Caenorhabditis elegans: one gene and its partners. The protein of the gene in region 1 interacts with the protein of each later gene in a pairwise test. Each region holds a gene or a part of one and is shown on either strand. Other genes may lie near its edges.

Region 1 (8,251 bases):
TGCAAGCAGAGTCGTACCTGTAGATAGGCGGGTAGGCATATTTGTGCATGCTAGTTTTCACATTTGCCTCGAGATTAGAAATTGGCCTCAACTTACCGTATTCTTCCTATTAGACTTGTATCTTCTGGTTCTACTTTGGCAGAATATATCTCGGTTGCTTTAAATTTTATCAATAAATTGTCAACTACCAAATATGTACCAAATATGTCTCTATATTTTGGTTGTAGAGAATTTTTTGATAACACTTGAGACAATTGGAAAATAGGCCGTCAAAGTAGAGTAATTGTGGTGCAGACTTTGTAGGGAAAATACGGTATGCCTCAGCTTTAGTACTGGACGGCGATAATTTTAAACTATTTTTTTACAGGTTTCAATGTTTACAAAACTTGTTTACTGACAATGAGTTCTTAATTTTTTTACCACAGCCCAACATTAAAAATGCAAAACCTTAGCCAGCACGGAACATTTTCGTAGAACTATTTGATCACTTGTACCTCCAATCTTGTCATCATTCTCACCCATAAATGAAAACAAAATGTTAACAATGTCTTATTCTCCCCCTCTTCCAATTCCCTCACTAACATCTCCTCATTTTTCCATTTCAAATCATTTCTCTCTTGTCCTTGACTGTGATAATCGGCCACTTCCTATGAGGTAAAAGTAGTCGTCATCTCTTCTAAATTCTCTCGGAATACGCCTATACGCCAAGCGCATCATTTCAAAAAGTGAAGCGCGCAGAGAGAAAAAAGAAGGAGGAACGCAAATAGCAGCTCGTTTTTCGACGGTTCGGCAACAAAATGGGGGCGGAGCAATTGGTGGGGGCGCTTCTCAGGGCCTCTGCCTCATCGACCCCCGGCGCAACAGACCGTCCTCACAATACCCTTTCGGTATTCTGTAGGAATGCTTGTGTGTGTGTGTCTTTCCGATTTCATTTTTTTCGCTTCACTTTTTTACTCCGAGCAGAGCAGGAGCACTGTGTCTTTTTCTACTTTTATTCACTCCACCCCAAAGTTACTTTAAGCTTTCTAAACTATCGTGAATGAGTAACCGAATGGTTTAGGATTTCAAGTAGTGTCAATTAGAACTTGGTCATACAATTACTCAATAAATTTCCAACTTTATGACTCACTGAACACCCACATGTTTCTTCACATCTTTTGCTAGTTTTATTATGATTTTAAGTTTGAGTCAACAAGCTTTAGGTATGAAAATATGAATACTAAAATTAAAAAAAAAACAGCAATTCATTTTCAAAATCATTCATAAAAGTTGAAAACTTTACGAAACAAAATGCAACATAAATTTCGCTGTCCCACTTTTTTTAGAAAGTTTTTCAGATCTGAACAATTAAGTCTTTAAAGGAGATAGGCATGAAATCATTCCTTTTTGCCGGCTTTCGTACTTGGTTGCATCCTATTTTTCCTGTGAATTCTAGTAGGTTTCGTGCCTACCTAGAAGGTTTTTATTATTTTGCGATCATTTCACGTTGCTCGAAAAAAACAATTATAAGAAGCATTTACTGTAGTCTGCAGAAATAAAAAAAAATCAAGATAATCTTTTAAAAAAATCATGAATAAAATCATTTAACTTCCATCATTTTCTCGTCATTTTCCACCCAATTCTTGCAAATTTCCCTGCACAATGCGCGAGAAATTCAATCTCTATTGTTCTTCCATCTAACAATTCTCCGGAATGTGCTTGGGTGTTTCAATTTGTTTGACAGGTTAACGTTGACTCACCATCATGTCCTTCCACCCATATTCAATTCTGATTTCCATGAACAAAAATGGGCGTGTTCAGTCACTCCTCCTCCACCTTATTTGTTTTCTGTTTTTTTGTGGAGTGTACTCAAAAAAATGTTGAACATATATATGAGTGTGTATGTTTGTTGAAAACCGGCCACGCTTATTTGGGTTTTGATAAGGAACAAATTGGATGCCGAAGGATGCAGAAACATTTTTTTTTATCATATTGTTGTTTTAAGGTTTAACACTTTTTATTAAAATTTGTAATTGTTACTTTTTGCTCAGTTTTCTGTATTTTCCCAATTCAGCTTCTATATTTTCAAAAAAAAAATTTCAGGTAGCGTCAAACTTCTGAAAGAAGATGTCGTCTCACAAGGAATCTTCCGAGTACGAGATGCAATACAGATCCACCATCCAGCCAAGAACAGCGGTTCGCTCTCAATCACGTCAGTCTGGAAACTACGTGTCTGGTGGAAATGGAGCAGGATCCGGAGGTTAGTTAGATTTTAAAAAAATTTAAAGTTGAAAACGGTAAAGATTAAAAAAAATTTCAGCTATTACTATATCCTTTCCTCTGAAAATAATCATCAATACCAGGAGCATTTCTTGTTTCAAATTCTTGATTTGAAATCCGGATAGTTATATATCTTTTAAAAAAATTTCCTACTGAAGTCTAAGCTTCAGAGATCACTCAATTTCCAACGTATTTTCTATACTTTCCTGTTAGATTGAGAGTTTCAGAATATACTTTTATTTTTTCAAAAGTAGTAAACCTTCAAGCTATTTTTCTCCTGGACCGGTCTTATAGATGACCTTAATTCAAGTTGACACTATACATCCGATCAACTATTAACTGAACCAATATTCCAATATTCTTTTTTCCTTTCTTTCTCTATTTCTCTGTTTACATGTTTATCCGTCTACTACCCATCCATAATTATGTATTTGAATTCAAAGCGAATTAGTGAACAGTCGCATCAATCGAACCGAACACTTTATTCTCTCTCTCTCTCTCTCGTTCATCCGATTGCAAAAAAATAGTTTGGGTGGTTTTATTAATCAATTGGAAGATGAAGTAAATATTGGTTTTTGCTGTGCTATACAATAGAAATGAGGATGGAAATATAGACCTGGAGGATGAAAAGAAAATATAAAAACGAGAAAAAGAGAGCAAGAGTCGTTATCAGTGCGAACGCGTTGATTTGTTCTTGGCTAAACGAAACGTTTTTGAGAAAGGTGAACAGTTTGGTAGAGGATAATATTTTGAGCAGGGATTTTACATTTTTTCTACTCGGAGTTGATCCAAAATCTTCTGCTTAAAAATATCACTTAAAATCAATTATTTTCGAAATTATAAAAGTTAAAAGATAAAAAGTAATACTTTATGCCTTTAAATGCAATTTTTAATTTAATGAGTTTTCTTAATATTTGCTCACTTGGCAAGAAACCACACTTTTTCATAGTTTAACAAAAATCTAGAAACAGGTTTTTATGAAGTGAAATTTCTGTGAATAAATGGGGGAATTCCTCAAAAATTAAACAAATATTAATATTTTTGGAGTTTTGAGGCAAAAATGGGGAAAATTTGAAATTGGCAATTTTAGCATAAAATGTCAGGATAATTAAAACTTCAAAAACTGCAGTCGAAATATATTTAATTAAAAGCTAAAAACAGTTTTTAACAGTAAAAATTTGAAATTGAAAATTGTTTGTTAAGTCAGAGATTTAGGTACGTAAACTTACTACATAGTATTAGCTTCTTATAACTTGCCGTAAGCCTACGCACGTATCTGCTGCCTAAACACAAGTTATCTTTTATGTTTGTAATTTTTAGTTGTTCTTTGAGCAAGTTAACTCACTGTGAAAATAGAAAATAGGCAGGCATTACCATAACAAAAGAAAAATTGTTCTTTTTTATTGTTTTAAGCAAATCTGGAGATCAAGATCAAAATATAAGACCACAAGATTTTTTTCCGGCAGCCCATATCGTTTCCTATTCAACCGTCATTAAATCCACTTTTTCTCATCCAAAAAATCCCATAAATCTCTGGGTTTTCTCGTCTCTCGATACAGTCTCACAATTAGCATAATCACTGAGGAACGCCCTTCATTTTCAAACCAAAAATCTATTGAATTTAAAAGTTCAAGTTCCATCAAGTTTATAGTGCATGACAGAAAGAGTTGTTAGGCAAATAGTCTTCAACTATGCATATACATAAAAATGGCAACATTTTTGGAAATAAAATGCAAAAAGCAAATAACAGATTGAAAGAGGCACCAAAATTTCAGACAGTTTTAAATACAATATTTCAATTTTCGTAACCAGTTGAGATAACATGTATAAAAAGATACATTGAGCCGATTAAGTCAACAAAATGTTTAGTTTGTTGTTTCTTGGGCACACTTTCCGCCAGCCGGCTGACTGCTCAACACACTTGAAAACTTGACGGACTTTGAAGAAATCCGAGCTTTTATTGATTTTATTCATCATTTATTTTAATTTTGTTTTTTTTTGGGTAACGAATTAAAATTAAAAGAATCCCCTGAATAACTTTTAATTTAGAATACAGTTACGAAATAGATGAGAAATAGGTGAGAAAGGAAGGAATGACCACACCCAAGATGTGACTATTTTGAATGATGAGAAACTGAGACATGGAAAACACCCATTTTTTATGTGTGATTAGTCATTTAGTTTTAATGAGTGAGAATTGGGTGGAACAGTGACAAGAACTTATTATACTGATTATCACTTGATTTATGAGATCTTCTCGGATAGAATCTCGGATTTCTCCGATTTATTGCAAGATGGTGTAGAGTTTTTTTTTTCAATTAGAAATGTCCCATCTTACATTTAAGTTGTCAAAACTAATTTTTTAACCAATTTTGTTCTAACTTGAGATAAGTCAATTTTTGCGGCCCGTGTTTCAAGATTCTTAAACTTAAAAACATTTTTGAGGACTGGAAATGATGTTTTTCTTAATTGAATTTCTATCAAATTGACAAAAATAAAACAGGTACGTTGGCCTAAAAATAAGCCTTCCTACCATTAGATTTAGTTTCTGAAACAAAAATATCTCCCTTACCAAAAAATGTCAAAAATGGAATCCTAGTTAAATTAATTAGCTTCCCCGCAATTTAAAAAAGATAACAAAAATGAATGATTGAGATCTGATCAAGATGATTATCTTTAGTTGACTCCGCCCACAACAACCTTGACGTATTCTTCATCTTCAATTTCTAAGTAAGTAGTGTCTTGATCTCTTTCCACTTTTCTTCCAATTTATCCATTCATTCATAGGCACAGTCAACTCGCAATCTGTACGTATGTGTACATGTCCGTTGTCTTCAACTTATCACCATTATATCTTCTTCTCTTTCTCCATTTTCTATCATCGGTGATGATCGGGAAGGCAAAACCATTGACACACCTTCATTCTTTTTCTCTAAGTTCTCCACAAATTTAATGCTATTTCTTCGTTGGGTGGAGTATTCAGAAGAGGGTCAGAATTGGTCGACGGTTTCCGTTATTTTGCATAGTGTTTGTGACACTTACATTTAGTTTCTATACCATTTGTTTTTCATTTTTCATTCAGAAATTTTCGAACTTGTTCCTCATTATTTTTTTTCCCTTAATCTTCTAGAAAAACTTTAAAATTTCAAGCTAAAACACATCAGAAATGGAGGCTGAATCAGCGCCACAGGCACCAATGTCAGGAGGTAAGAATAGAAGAATATCGAAATATAAATTCCCAATAGAAATATAAAAACACTCAAATCAAATCTAATCTCCTAATTATCATTATAAAAACGTTCAGGACGCGTGCTAAAGATGGTGACAGAGATGGGATCAGCTACAGTCGGAGGAATTTCACCGGCCTTGTCCGCAAACGCAGCAAAATCGTTCCTTGAGGCGACTGATAAGGAAAAGAAGACACTGCAGGGACTCAATGATCGTCTCGGAAATTACATTGATCGTGTCAAGAAACTCGAAGAGCAGAACCGTAAATTGGTTGCTGATTTGGATGAGCTTCGCGGAAAATGGGGAAAAGACACATCCGAGATTAAGGTATTTTAGTGAATTTCAAATAAATTTTAAGCAAGCTTCTGCAAGCAAAAAACTGAAGTAGTTGTAGAAAAAACATTTATTATTTGATTGTGAATCAGTAATTTCTATTTAGATATATATTCGAAACTTTCAAGATTTTATTTACTATATTAGAGAATTCTCTCAAACATCCTTAAAATCTTCAACTTACCAGAAGAAAATCTGTGCGCTTCCTGTCCAGTGTTTTTTTAAAATTTCAACCTATATTTTGGAACAAACTTCTTAAAGCTTCTTTCCTATTCAAATTGTTAATTTCAGATCAAATACTCCGAATCCCTCTCAACAGCTCGTAAGGACATTGACGATGCTGCTCGTAGAAAGGCAGAGGTTGATGTGAAAGTTGCCAGACACCGTGACGACTTGGCTGAGTACAGATCCAGGTTTATTTATTCTTAATTTTCTGTTGCTTATCAATATTTATTCAGATACGAAGATATCCAGCAACGCCGTGAGTCCGATCGCGAGAAGATCTCCCAATGGACCAATGCTATCGCTGATGCTCAATCCGAAGTTGAGATGCTCCGTGCTCGTTTCAAGCAATTGACAGATGAGGAGAAGCGTGTTACAGCTGACAACTCGAGAATCTGGGAAGAACTTCAGAAGGCCAGAAGCGATCTTGATGATGAGACCATTGGCAGAATTGACTTCCAAAATCAAGTGCAGACTTTGATGGAGGAGCTCGAATTCTTGAGAAGAGTTCACGAACAAGAGGTTAAGGAACTTCAAGCTCTCCTTGCTCAGGCTCCAGCTGACACCAGAGAGTTCTTCAAAAACGAATTGGCTCTTGCCATCCGTGATATCAAAGATGAGTATGATATCATTGCCAAGCAAGGAAAGCAAGACATGGAGTCCTGGTACAAGCTCAAGGTTTCCGAGGTTCAAGGATCTGCCAACCGTGCCAATATGGAGTCCACCTACCAGAGGGATGAGGTCAAGAGAATGAGAGACAACATTGGAGATCTCCGCGGAAAATTGGGAGATTTGGAGAACAAGAACTCACTTTTGGAGAAGGAAGTTCAGAACTTGAACTACCAATTGACCGACGATCAAAGACAATACGAAGCTGCCCTCAACGACAGAGATGCTACATTGAGAAGAATGCGTGAGGAATGCCAAACATTGGTTGCTGAGCTTCAAGCTCTTTTGGATACCAAGCAAATGCTTGACGCCGAAATTGCCATCTACAGAAAAATGCTCGAGGGAGAAGAGACCAGGTAATTATTATCGTTATTTAATCAATATTCCCAGCAAGCCAAATTTTGGGCAGTTTTGTTATCATTTTGTTCTAAAACCTTTCTCAAAAGTTTCAAAAATATATTTGCAGAGTCGGACTCACCCAAATGGTTGAGCAAGCCGTCAAGACGCATTCTCTCCAACAACAAGAAAACACTGATTCGACAAGATCAGTTCGCGGTGAGGTATCCACCAAGACCACCTTCCAAAGATCCGCCAAGGGAAATGTGACAATTTCCGAGTGTGATCCAAATGGAAAGTTCATCAAGCTTGAGAACTCGCACAGAAACAAGGTATGTTGAAGCTTTTTGGTTTTGAAATGTTGAAAATTTTATTTCAGGATGAGAATGTTGGTGAGCACAAAATCAGAAGAAAGTTGGATGGAAGACGCGAAATTGTCTATTCCATTCCAGCCAATGTTGTTATCAAGCCAGGAAAGAACTTGACCGTAAGTTATTTTTATCATTGTTTTAGAAAAAAGTGTGTAGCTATGTAAATATTCTTAGTATTTTTTTAGTCTGCCACTATATTTTTGAGAAACCCAGCCAACATAGTCTGAAGCCCGTTAAAAACGTACTTTCACCTGAAAATTTCCAAAAAAAAAATTTTGAAAGGGAATGGCCAAATTTTGCTAAAATCTGAAATTTTGTGAGATTGTCCATGTAGCAATATCGGAAAATCAGTTGTTATTTCTCTAATGCTCTTTATCAGAGTTACAGGTTTTAGAAATTTGAAAATGTTTTCCCCAAGTTTTGAGCCACCATAAGAAATTTGGAAACATTTTCTGAGAGGTCTCATTATGAAATTTAATCGTTTCGGGTTAGTCTAAGGGTTTCTCGCATTTGCTGAGAAACTAATCTACATAATTTCGAAAAGAGAATATTCCAATTCCAATAAATTTCCAGATCTACGCCCGTGACCAAGGAGGCATCAACAACCCACCAGAGTCTCTTGTCTTCGATGGAGAGAACACCTGGGGAATCGGAGCCAATGTTGTGACGTCATTGGTGAACAAGGATGGAGAGGAGCGTGCAACACACACCCAGAAGACCATCCAATCCGGACAATAAGCTCTCATTATTTTTAAACAACTTTTTCTCTTTTAAACAACTCCCCAAAATCACTCAAGTTCTCTAGTTTCTGTCCATAATTTTCTTATTATTCT
Region 2 (5,007 bases), on another chromosome or scaffold:
ACAATTTCTGGATTTTTTTTTTCAAAAATTTTGATTTTTTTTGGAGTTCTTTCAGAATTTTTGGTATTTTTTTGGAATTTACTTTCAAAATTTAGGGGTTTTTTCGAAATTTTTGGATTAAAAAAATACAATTTTAGAATAACAGGATTTTTTTCAGAATTTTTTGAACTAAAAAACAACGATTTTCAAAAGTTTAAAACAAAATTTTTAGGATTTTTTTTTTCAAAAATTTTTGGATTAAAAATACAATTTCTGGATTTTTTTTTAAAGGATTTTTTCAGAACTTTTAGGAATTTTTTTAAAATGAAATTAAGGAATTTTTCTTTGATTTTTTTTGGATTAAAAAACAATTTTTGGAACTTTTTTTTTTAATTTTTGGTTTTTTTTTCAATTTTTTGGACCAAAAAACAACGATTATCAAATTTTTCAAACAAAATTTTTAAAATTTTTTGTCAAAAATTTTTGGATTAAAATTGCAATTTTGGAGTTTTTTGTGGATTTCTTTCATAATTTTTTGAATTTAAAAATTAATTTTTGGAACTTTTGGAATTTTTTTTGATTAAAAAAGAGTTTTGGATTTTTTTCAAAATTTTTGGGATTTTTTATGGATTTTTTATGAAATTTTTTGGATTAAAACGTTCTGGATTTTTTTCAAAAATTTTGGTTTTGTTCGGGATTTTTTACGAATTTTTAGGAATTTTTAAAAGGAAATTAAGGAATTTTTCTTTTCTTTTTTTTGGTTAAAAAAAACAATTTTCGGAATTTTTCTCAAAATTTTTGGGGGTTTTTTAAAAACAAAATTTTCAGAATTTTTGGTTTTTTTTTGGATTTTTTAAAGAATTTTTTTGGAATTTTTTGGAATTGTTTTTGGATTTTTTTTGGATAAAAAACCCATTTTTGGAACTTTTTCAAAATGTTTGGGATTTTTAAAATATATTTTTTGGGATTTTTTTGGAAGAATGTACAACGATTTTTGTAATTTTCTTCCAAAATGAATGGTTTTTTTTTGGAATGTTTTCAAAAATTTTTGCACTAAAAACAACGATTTTTCTATTTTTCCTAGCTTTTTTCATTTTTAAGGTCTAAAATCAAAATTAATGCTAACTTCTCCATTTCTTTCTTAATATTCTCTCGAATTTCCTCTCTTCTCTTCTCCTTTTCCTCATCATTCAAATCAGGCTTCTCCTGAGTCTCCACAATCACTGGAACACGTTGATTATCATCTAAAAGAGCTTCTTCTGCTGCCGGATCGATTTCTCGATTCTCATCAGTTCCCAGTTGAAGTCCTAGTTGAAGACACTGCTTCTGGAGCTCTTTGAGCTCTTTTTCTTGCTTTGTAGTCGTTTTTTTGAGGGCCGCCACTGGAAAAATATATAATTTTTTATTGAAAATTGGAAATTTTTTCCTAAAAAAGAAAAAAAACGCAATTTTGAGAAAAAAATTTTTTTTTCGAAAATTCGGAATTTGTTTTAGAATTTTGTATGAGCCCATGTTCCTTTAAAACTCGTGTAGATTTACGCAGGCCGCGTGTACTCCACGTGGACAACTTTGAATTTTTTTTTTCAACATTTTGAGCAATTTTTCGAAAAATATAGTTTTTGGAAATTTTGAAAAATCAAAAAAAAGTTTTTAAAAAAATTTTAAGATTTTAAAAACTGTGTTATTTTCCGGAAAATCGAATTTTTCGGAATTTTTTTTTTGAAAAATCTGAAAATTTTTAACTTCTGAAAATCCTGTATAAATCACTGTCTCCTTAAAATTCGTGTAGATTTACGGAGGCCGCGTGTACTCCACGTGGACAAGTTTGAACTATTTTTTTTCAACATTTTGAGCAATTTTTCGAAAAATACAATTTTTTTGTTTGAAAAAAATTTGAAAAATCGAGAAAATATTTTTTTCAAAATTTTAAGATTTTAAAAATTGTGTTTTTATTTTGTTTTTAGCTAAAAAGTAAAAAAAATAGCCAAAATTTTAAATTTTTTCCGAAAAAATTTCTTTTATTGAAAAATCTGAAAACTTTCAACTTTTTAAAATCCTGTATAAATCACTGTCTCTTTAAAACTCGTGTAGATTTACGCAGGCTGCGTGTACTCCACGTGGACAAGTTTGACGTTTTTTTTTTTTCAGTTTTCTGCTAAAATGCTTGATTTTTCACCATTTTTCGCAGTTTTTTTTTTGCAAAAAAAATTCGTTTTTCGTAACCAATTTGGTGAAAATTATTACTTTTATTAATTCTCTCCATAACCTCGGCTCGAACTTTCGTCGCTACGTCATCCAAATCCTTTGCCTTTTTGGCGCGAACCTCCATCATAGCGCTCTTCTGAATTGGAATAATATTGATTTTTTGCTCAAAATTCTTTTTTTTTTTTTGCTCAAATTTCCACCAAAACAAACCTTCCTCTTCGTCAACTGAAGCCTCTCGACGAGCTTCTCGTTCAGCTCAGACGCCGCCACCGCGGCCTCGGAGACTTGTTTTAGCTCGAGCAGCGCTTCCTGAAGCTCAGCGATAACCTCACTGTTCGCCTGCTCTTCTGGAGTCTTTTCCGCATTTTCGTCTTCTTCCGTGGCGTCTTCCTCCTGTTTCTCCTTCTGTTCTTTCAGTTTTTGAGCGTCGTCCTCGATTTTTTTCTCGAAATCTTTGGCGATATCGAGGGTGGCTTGTTCGTGAATTCCCTGGAAAAATTTTTTTCATCAAAAACCCCGGAAAACTGGAAAAAAATTCACTTTTATTCATCAATTGTTTAAAAAATAATAAAATAAAGTTTGTCTGAGAGGACTACACTGCGCGGGGGACTAGAAACCCACCTAGTCCCCCACGCCGTGTACTCCTCCTGGACAATCGAACAAAATTATTTTTAATGGAAAATTGTGATTTTTCTCGATTTTTTAAACGAAAATTTGTCGAAAAAAGCAAACTCACGACAATAGTCTTCAAAATATCCATATACTGAGCTTCTTGTGCCGAAATCGAGTCAAACGCGGCCAAAAGTAGCTTCATATCTTCTTTTACAGACTGGAAAATTCAAATTTTCAGTTTAAAAATAAAATATTTCGCACCTCATTCTCCTGTGGCTTTCCGACTCCTAATTCGCGGAGAGCTTGCGCGATTTCAGCCTTTTTGCCACGAATATCCTCGATGGATTGCATGATTTTCTTGCGTCGGGATATCTGGAATTGAGGAAAAAAAAAGTATAATTTCAGCAAATTTCAGCTGTTTAGAATACCAAATTATCATCCATTACTTGTGGAAGTTCGACGGAGCTCATGATTGGATCTGGAAAAATTAAAAGTTAAAAATTAAAAATGAAAAATTGAAATTTGAAATTTTGCAGTTTAAAAAAATCCAAATATAGTCTGAAATTCAGAAAAACCAGAATAGAAGAACGAAAAAATCGGAAAAAAAAACTAGATTTTTCAATTTTGGCTAAATTCCCTCCAAAATGAGAACTGCGACCAATCAGCGATTCGCTCCGCCCATTTTTAAACCAATCAGATGAAGTAGGCGGAGTTTGAAGTTCTTATTTTGAAGTGATTTTAGCCAAAATTGGAAAAAATCGCGTGGGCTTAAACTTAGTTTCAGGCTTAGGCTTAGGCATACACTTAGACTTAGGCTTAAGCTTAGGCGTAGACTTAGATTTAGGCTTAGGCTTAGGCCTAGGCTAAGGATTAAGTTAAAGCTTAGGCGGGGGAAAATAAATTCTCGGAAATTCGAAAAACTCCGGAAAAATTGGAAATTCCGAAGTCGGGTCAAAAAAACTAATAAAAATGGCCGAAAAGGGACTAAAAAATACAAAATTAAAAAAAATAGTGTAAAAATATTTGACAGGAGCTCCAAGAATCAAAAATGTTCAGCAGCTCGCCAAAATTCGAAAAGTACACACACACACACACAAAACTAAGCACACTGAAATAGAATGTCAATAGAAGAGGCGAAACATACACACACACGGACACACTATACTTCCACAATTGATCGAACCGTAGGCGACGACTGTACGGACGGAAAACCTATGCCTCTCTTTCTCTCACCGCACTGTACAATCTCTCGGCCGAAATTAGTCAGGCAAAAAGTTGGCGGGGTGATTCATAGCGGAGGAAGGCAACGCCCTATTTGGGTTGGTGTGGAACGGGGGGAGGGGAAGGTCCTCCGAGAGGTAATAGATATGGATTGAATTGAATATTGAATTAGGGGTGTTGATTTTAACGAGAGCCACTGATACCGAGAGTGTAATTAGAAATAAAATTCTATTAAATTGCCTCAAAATTACAAAATGATCTCTAAATCTGAAAACTTGTGTCTGAAAATTATGTGCTAATGGGTTTATTCAAGTAATGTTGCAAAATGTATTAAAATACATGTATTTTATGTATTTATTACAATTGATACGGTATTTTTCTACACTTTTTAATTTTTCGACACTATTTCGGTAACCCCATAAATCCTGTTGATTTTGCATGCAGCGACACACTTTTTTATCAGTAGCATTTCATATATTTAATCCTTTTTTTTAAGTTAGGCTAGTCGTTAGCCAAAAATTGTCAAAAAAAAATCACACCGGTCGTGGTCGCTCAAATTTTAGCTCAAAAAGTGGCAACCTTAATACAAAAAAAAAAAAACTAATGTCACTGATTTTAGTTCAATTTTATCCTGAATTTCTTGAATAAAAATGAAAGAAACACGATGAAATGTTTTCTTTCATTAAGTTTCTGATTGAGAACAACAATTTTATAAAAATTGTTTAATTTGTCCGGCTAATCCGGCAAATTTGCCGCAAAAATTCTATAGTTCCCTAAAAGTTCGACGACATTTTCTAAACTACTACTAACTATAGTCTTAAACGCCACACTATCTATTAAAGGTCAGTGTTATTAGTTTTAATGATACGAAATTTATACTCATTTCGTTCTATAAGCAGAACTACACCTGATTATGAGGAATACAATGATAAGAAATTCAAATTTTTTTTGCGTTATACATAGGAAATAAATAGGCTTGTATATTTTTTT
Region 3 (3,911 bases), 150 kb from region 1:
AATTAAACCAATTGTTGGAAAAGATAATAATTTATACGAGAATATAGAATCATTTTTCACCACACAATATCACAAATATGAACTTTTGTTCTGTTTCAACTCTTCAGATGATGAAGCTGTGGAAGTTGTGAAGTGTCTCATGAAGAAATATCCGAAGGTTGATGCGAAACTTTTCTTTGGTAGGTCAACTGCTTTTCTGGAACATTTTTCTTAAAATCTTTTATTTTTTTAAGGAGGTGAAACCGTTGGACTGAATCCAAAGATCAACAACATGATGCCTGCGTATCGTTCTGCACTTTATCCGCTGATATTAGTTAGTGACAGTGGAATATTTATGCGTTCAGATGGTGTTTTGGATATGGCCACAACGATGATGAGTCATGAGAAAATGGCATTAGTGACACAGACACCGTATTGTAAGGATCGAGAAGGTTTCGATGCGGCTTTTGAGCAGGTAGAACATGGATTCCTTAGAAAGAAATCTATAAGAGCTCTAAATTTTAGATGTATTTTGGAACTTCTCATGGACGTATATACCTAGCTGGAAATTGTATGGACTTTGTCTGTTCCACGGGAATGTCATCAATGATGAAGAAAGAAGCACTTGATGAATGTGGTGGCATTTCTAATTTTGGAGGATATCTTGCAGAGGACTACTTTTTCGGAAGAGAGCTCGCAAATCGTGGTTACAAATCTGCAATATCATCTCACCCAGCTCTCCAGAACTCATCATCAGTATCGGTTTCGTCATTTCTCGATAGAATTTGCAGATGGGTCAAGTTAAGGATTGCCATGTTGCCACACATTCTTCTCGTTGAGCCATTGCAGGTAATTCCAAAATTCACTTTTTTTTAAATCTCCAATATTATAGGATTGCTTCCCGTCTGGTTTAATCATGGCATTCAGTTTGAATCATTTGGTAGGATTGAATATAATGCCAATATTGATACTTCATACTATCTACTGGTTCAGTATGGATTACTCGCTAATGAACAGTATGCAGGTAATATATTTTCTAATAAAATATACATCAACATTTTTCAAATTTCAGAATGGCAAATTGAGCTTCTCTCCACTTCAATTTATGCTCATTTGGCTTTTGCGTGAGCTCACCGCTCCTTTCGTCTTTATCAAAGCTCTTTTACAACCAACAATTCAATGGCGAAACAATGTTTTTCATTTGGCATGGGGTGGACAGATACTTCCACCAAAATGTTGATTGTTTCATTTATTCATTTTATTTCCAAATTTCACTAACCCCAAATTCATCATTCTTGTCTGTGATTCTGTTTCTCAACATTATCGTAAATCCTCTCACTACATCATCTGAATCTTTAAAGTCCGGGTTGTTGTCTCTCCATCAGTTACATTGTTAGCTTCACTCTCCTATGCTAACTGTCTCACATTACGGGTGACATCTGAAATACCATCTTCTGTGCTATTAATACATACACGATGGCCTAATAAAATATTCAGATTCGATTTCCTTAATTTTACGATTATATGAAGCTCAGGTTCAGAAAAATTCCAACTATGTAATTTATATCACCATAAATACAAATATCGAACAATACTATTACCCTGATGCGAAATTTTGCGATGTTTCCTCTAAAAGTACGGTACCCGGTCTCGACGACACATCATTAAATTTTTAACATTAAATGCAAAAAGCTATGCGCCTTTTAAGAGTACTGTAATTTCAAACTTATGTTCCTGCCAGATTGTCATCATTTTTTTTTTCATATTTTCGACAAAAATACATTTATTCATCCTAAAAACTCACATATAACAATACAAACGCTCAACTTTTGAAAAATCGTTGGAAAAAATTCGATAAAAATTCTGCAGCAACATAAGTTTGAAACTACAGTACTCTTTGAAGGCACACACCTTTTTGCATTTAATAACATTTGTCGTGTCGAGACCTTTTTTTCGGCTCAAATACCACATAATTTCGCATATGAGTAATATTCAGAATAACAAAGTTTTCAGATGCTCTCCACTATTCTACGAAACAATTTTGTACGTCGCTCATTTTCGTCCCGGATTTTCAGTCAAAATGAGTACGAAACAGCAGCTGATTCAACATTAGAAAGATTATCAGACTATTTCGATCAAATTGCCGATTCATTTCCGGTTTCCGAACAATTTGATGTATCTCATGCAATGGGAGTTTTGACTGTTAATGTATCGAAATCTGTTGGTACGAGATGGTTCTTGTATTTCTTAAATTAATTACTTAATTTCAGGAACGTATGTTATTAACAAACAATCACCAAATAAGCAAATTTGGTTGTCCAGTCCGATGTCTGGTCCGAAAAGATATGATTTAGAAGAGGAGGGAAAGTTAGTAAAAACACATTTTCATTATTTAAATTGTATATCTTGATCAAAAGCACAACTCCACTAGACCGAATATGATCAAGATGATCGTGTAACGAAAGGTTTCACGAACATCAAAAGAGAAGATTTAGATATATATCAGTTTGCAGACAAATGAGATTAAGCCGAGATGAGTAACATGCAAGTGTCTTATTGCGTAAAGTGCAGAAAAGAGGCGGAGAGGATGAGCACAAATTAACGCTTTTTGATTTCAGATGGACTTATGCACACGATGGTGAACAACTTGACTCGCTTCTAAACAGAGAATTCCGAAAGATTCTGGCCGATGACCGAATCGATTTCTCGCGACATGTCTAATCCGGATTTCATATCATGTGATTTCTATTCTCTCTCGATTTTTCTCTTTTTCTTGCATATTTGATGTATCATGTTTTCTCATGTATTGTAACTTAGTTATATATTGTCTAGATACTTTTCTGGTAAAGTTTTTCTTGCCCAAGCGTTTTTTATACGTTTAATGAAAATGAAACTGTGGAAAAATCTCTGATTATTATCAAAAAGTGCTGACGGATTCAGATTCACGAAAACTTTTCCGTAGAGTCTCCGTTCTAGATTTACGTTAAACAACGCGCGGTTCGTTATTTCGGAGTGTCGTTAGATAACCAAATTTTCTCGCATAATTTCCAAAATGAGAATTTTACAATTTCTGAACGTTTGTGCCAAATTTATTATGTTCTTCTATGTTCCTTATGTTCTAAAATGTTAATTAGTTGATAAATTCGTATTATTCCGATTTTTAAACCGATATCTCAAGCGGTTGCGTTGTCTTTCTGTAAACATGATTAATATCGTCTCATAAAATTTTCAAATTTAGGCGACTCTTCTCCATCTACAACAAAAAAGTCATTTTTACTTGGAGCTTTGCTACTTTTCAAACAAATGCCACGCCTAGCGCTGCGGTAAGATCGTGTATATACTCTAACTAGTTCATAATCGAATTTTCAGACAATACAACTTCTATTACCGCGTGAATGGTGAAAAGGCCGAAGAATTGCTCAAAGAGTATGGCGAAGATGGAGATTTTCTTCTTCGATACAGCGAATCAAATCCGCAAAATTTCTCGATTTCTGTCAGGTTTGTTGTAGTCATTCACTAATAAATTAATACAATTTCGGAAATCGTTTTCAGAGTCGCCGAAGACAAAATTCTGCATATCAAGGTGACAAAGTATGAAAGCGACATGCTCAGTATTTTCGAAGATGAACGGACTACGCCAAATCAATTCGGTTCCATCACCGAACTCGCCGAATTCTACATGGAGTTTCCAGAAAAACTCAGGGAGAAGAATGGACTCTTTCTTGAACTGAAAAAACCTGTTTATGTGCCATATCATCTGGAAGCTTGCGCAGAAGAGCAACGACGAACGCAACTTTATCGCTGGTGGCATGGAAATTTACCGGCAAGTAGTGCCAACAAATTGCTGCAAACTGAAAAGAATGGAACGTATCTTCTAAGAGCAAGTCAACACATACCAGGAGCTCTCGTAATTTCCGCTAAGACAGAAGGAC

The links.
Region 2: the proteins of ifb-1 (region 1) and Y56A3A.7 interact in a two-hybrid assay, tested with the Caenorhabditis elegans proteins (one large-scale study listed by BioGRID).
Region 3: the proteins of ifb-1 (region 1) and frh-1 interact in a two-hybrid assay, tested with the Caenorhabditis elegans proteins (one large-scale study listed by BioGRID).

What each region holds. Positions count from the first base shown.
Region 1 is NC_003280.10:5,763,536-5,771,786, forward strand, and holds the start of ifb-1 (Intermediate filament protein ifb-1), read left to right. Parts: upstream 1-2,082; 5' UTR 2,083-2,106; coding exon 2,107-2,239; intron 2,240-4,686; exon of another isoform or gene 4,687-4,810; intron 4,811-5,409; exon of another isoform or gene 5,410-5,425; coding exon of another isoform or gene 5,426-5,465; intron 5,466-5,563; coding exon 5,564-5,814; intron 5,815-6,111; coding exon 6,112-6,233; intron 6,234-6,278; coding exon 6,279-7,067; intron 7,068-7,177; coding exon 7,178-7,379; intron 7,380-7,426; coding exon 7,427-7,534; intron 7,535-7,991; coding exon 7,992-8,156; 3' UTR 8,157-8,251. UniProt on the Caenorhabditis elegans protein: Cytoplasmic intermediate filaments provide mechanical strength to cells. Essential protein, involved in attachment structures in epidermal cells that connect muscles to the external cuticle. Required in morphogenesis and epidermal integrity.
Region 2 is NC_003281.10:11,943,744-11,948,750, forward strand, and holds the start of Y56A3A.7 (Homeobox protein cut-like), read right to left. Parts: upstream 3,277-5,007; 5' UTR 3,267-3,276; coding exon 3,225-3,266; intron 3,169-3,224; coding exon 3,058-3,168; intron 3,014-3,057; coding exon 2,921-3,013; intron 2,674-2,920; coding exon 2,395-2,673; intron 2,321-2,394; coding exon 2,224-2,320; intron 1,362-2,223; coding exon 1,106-1,361; intron 1-1,105.
Region 3 is NC_003280.10:5,915,430-5,919,340, forward strand, and holds frh-1 (Frataxin, mitochondrial), read left to right. Parts: upstream 1-1,992; coding exon 1,993-2,203; intron 2,204-2,249; coding exon 2,250-2,346; intron 2,347-2,597; coding exon 2,598-2,700; 3' UTR 2,701-3,135; downstream 3,136-3,911. Other genes in the region: cgt-3 (Ceramide glucosyltransferase 3), read left to right, coding at 1-179, 234-454, 505-828, 872-1,003, 1,052-1,219; Tyrosine-protein phosphatase non-receptor type ptp-2, read left to right, coding at 3,283-3,302, 3,349-3,477, 3,532-3,911. UniProt on the Caenorhabditis elegans protein: Promotes the biosynthesis of heme as well as the assembly and repair of iron-sulfur clusters by delivering Fe(2+) to proteins involved in these pathways.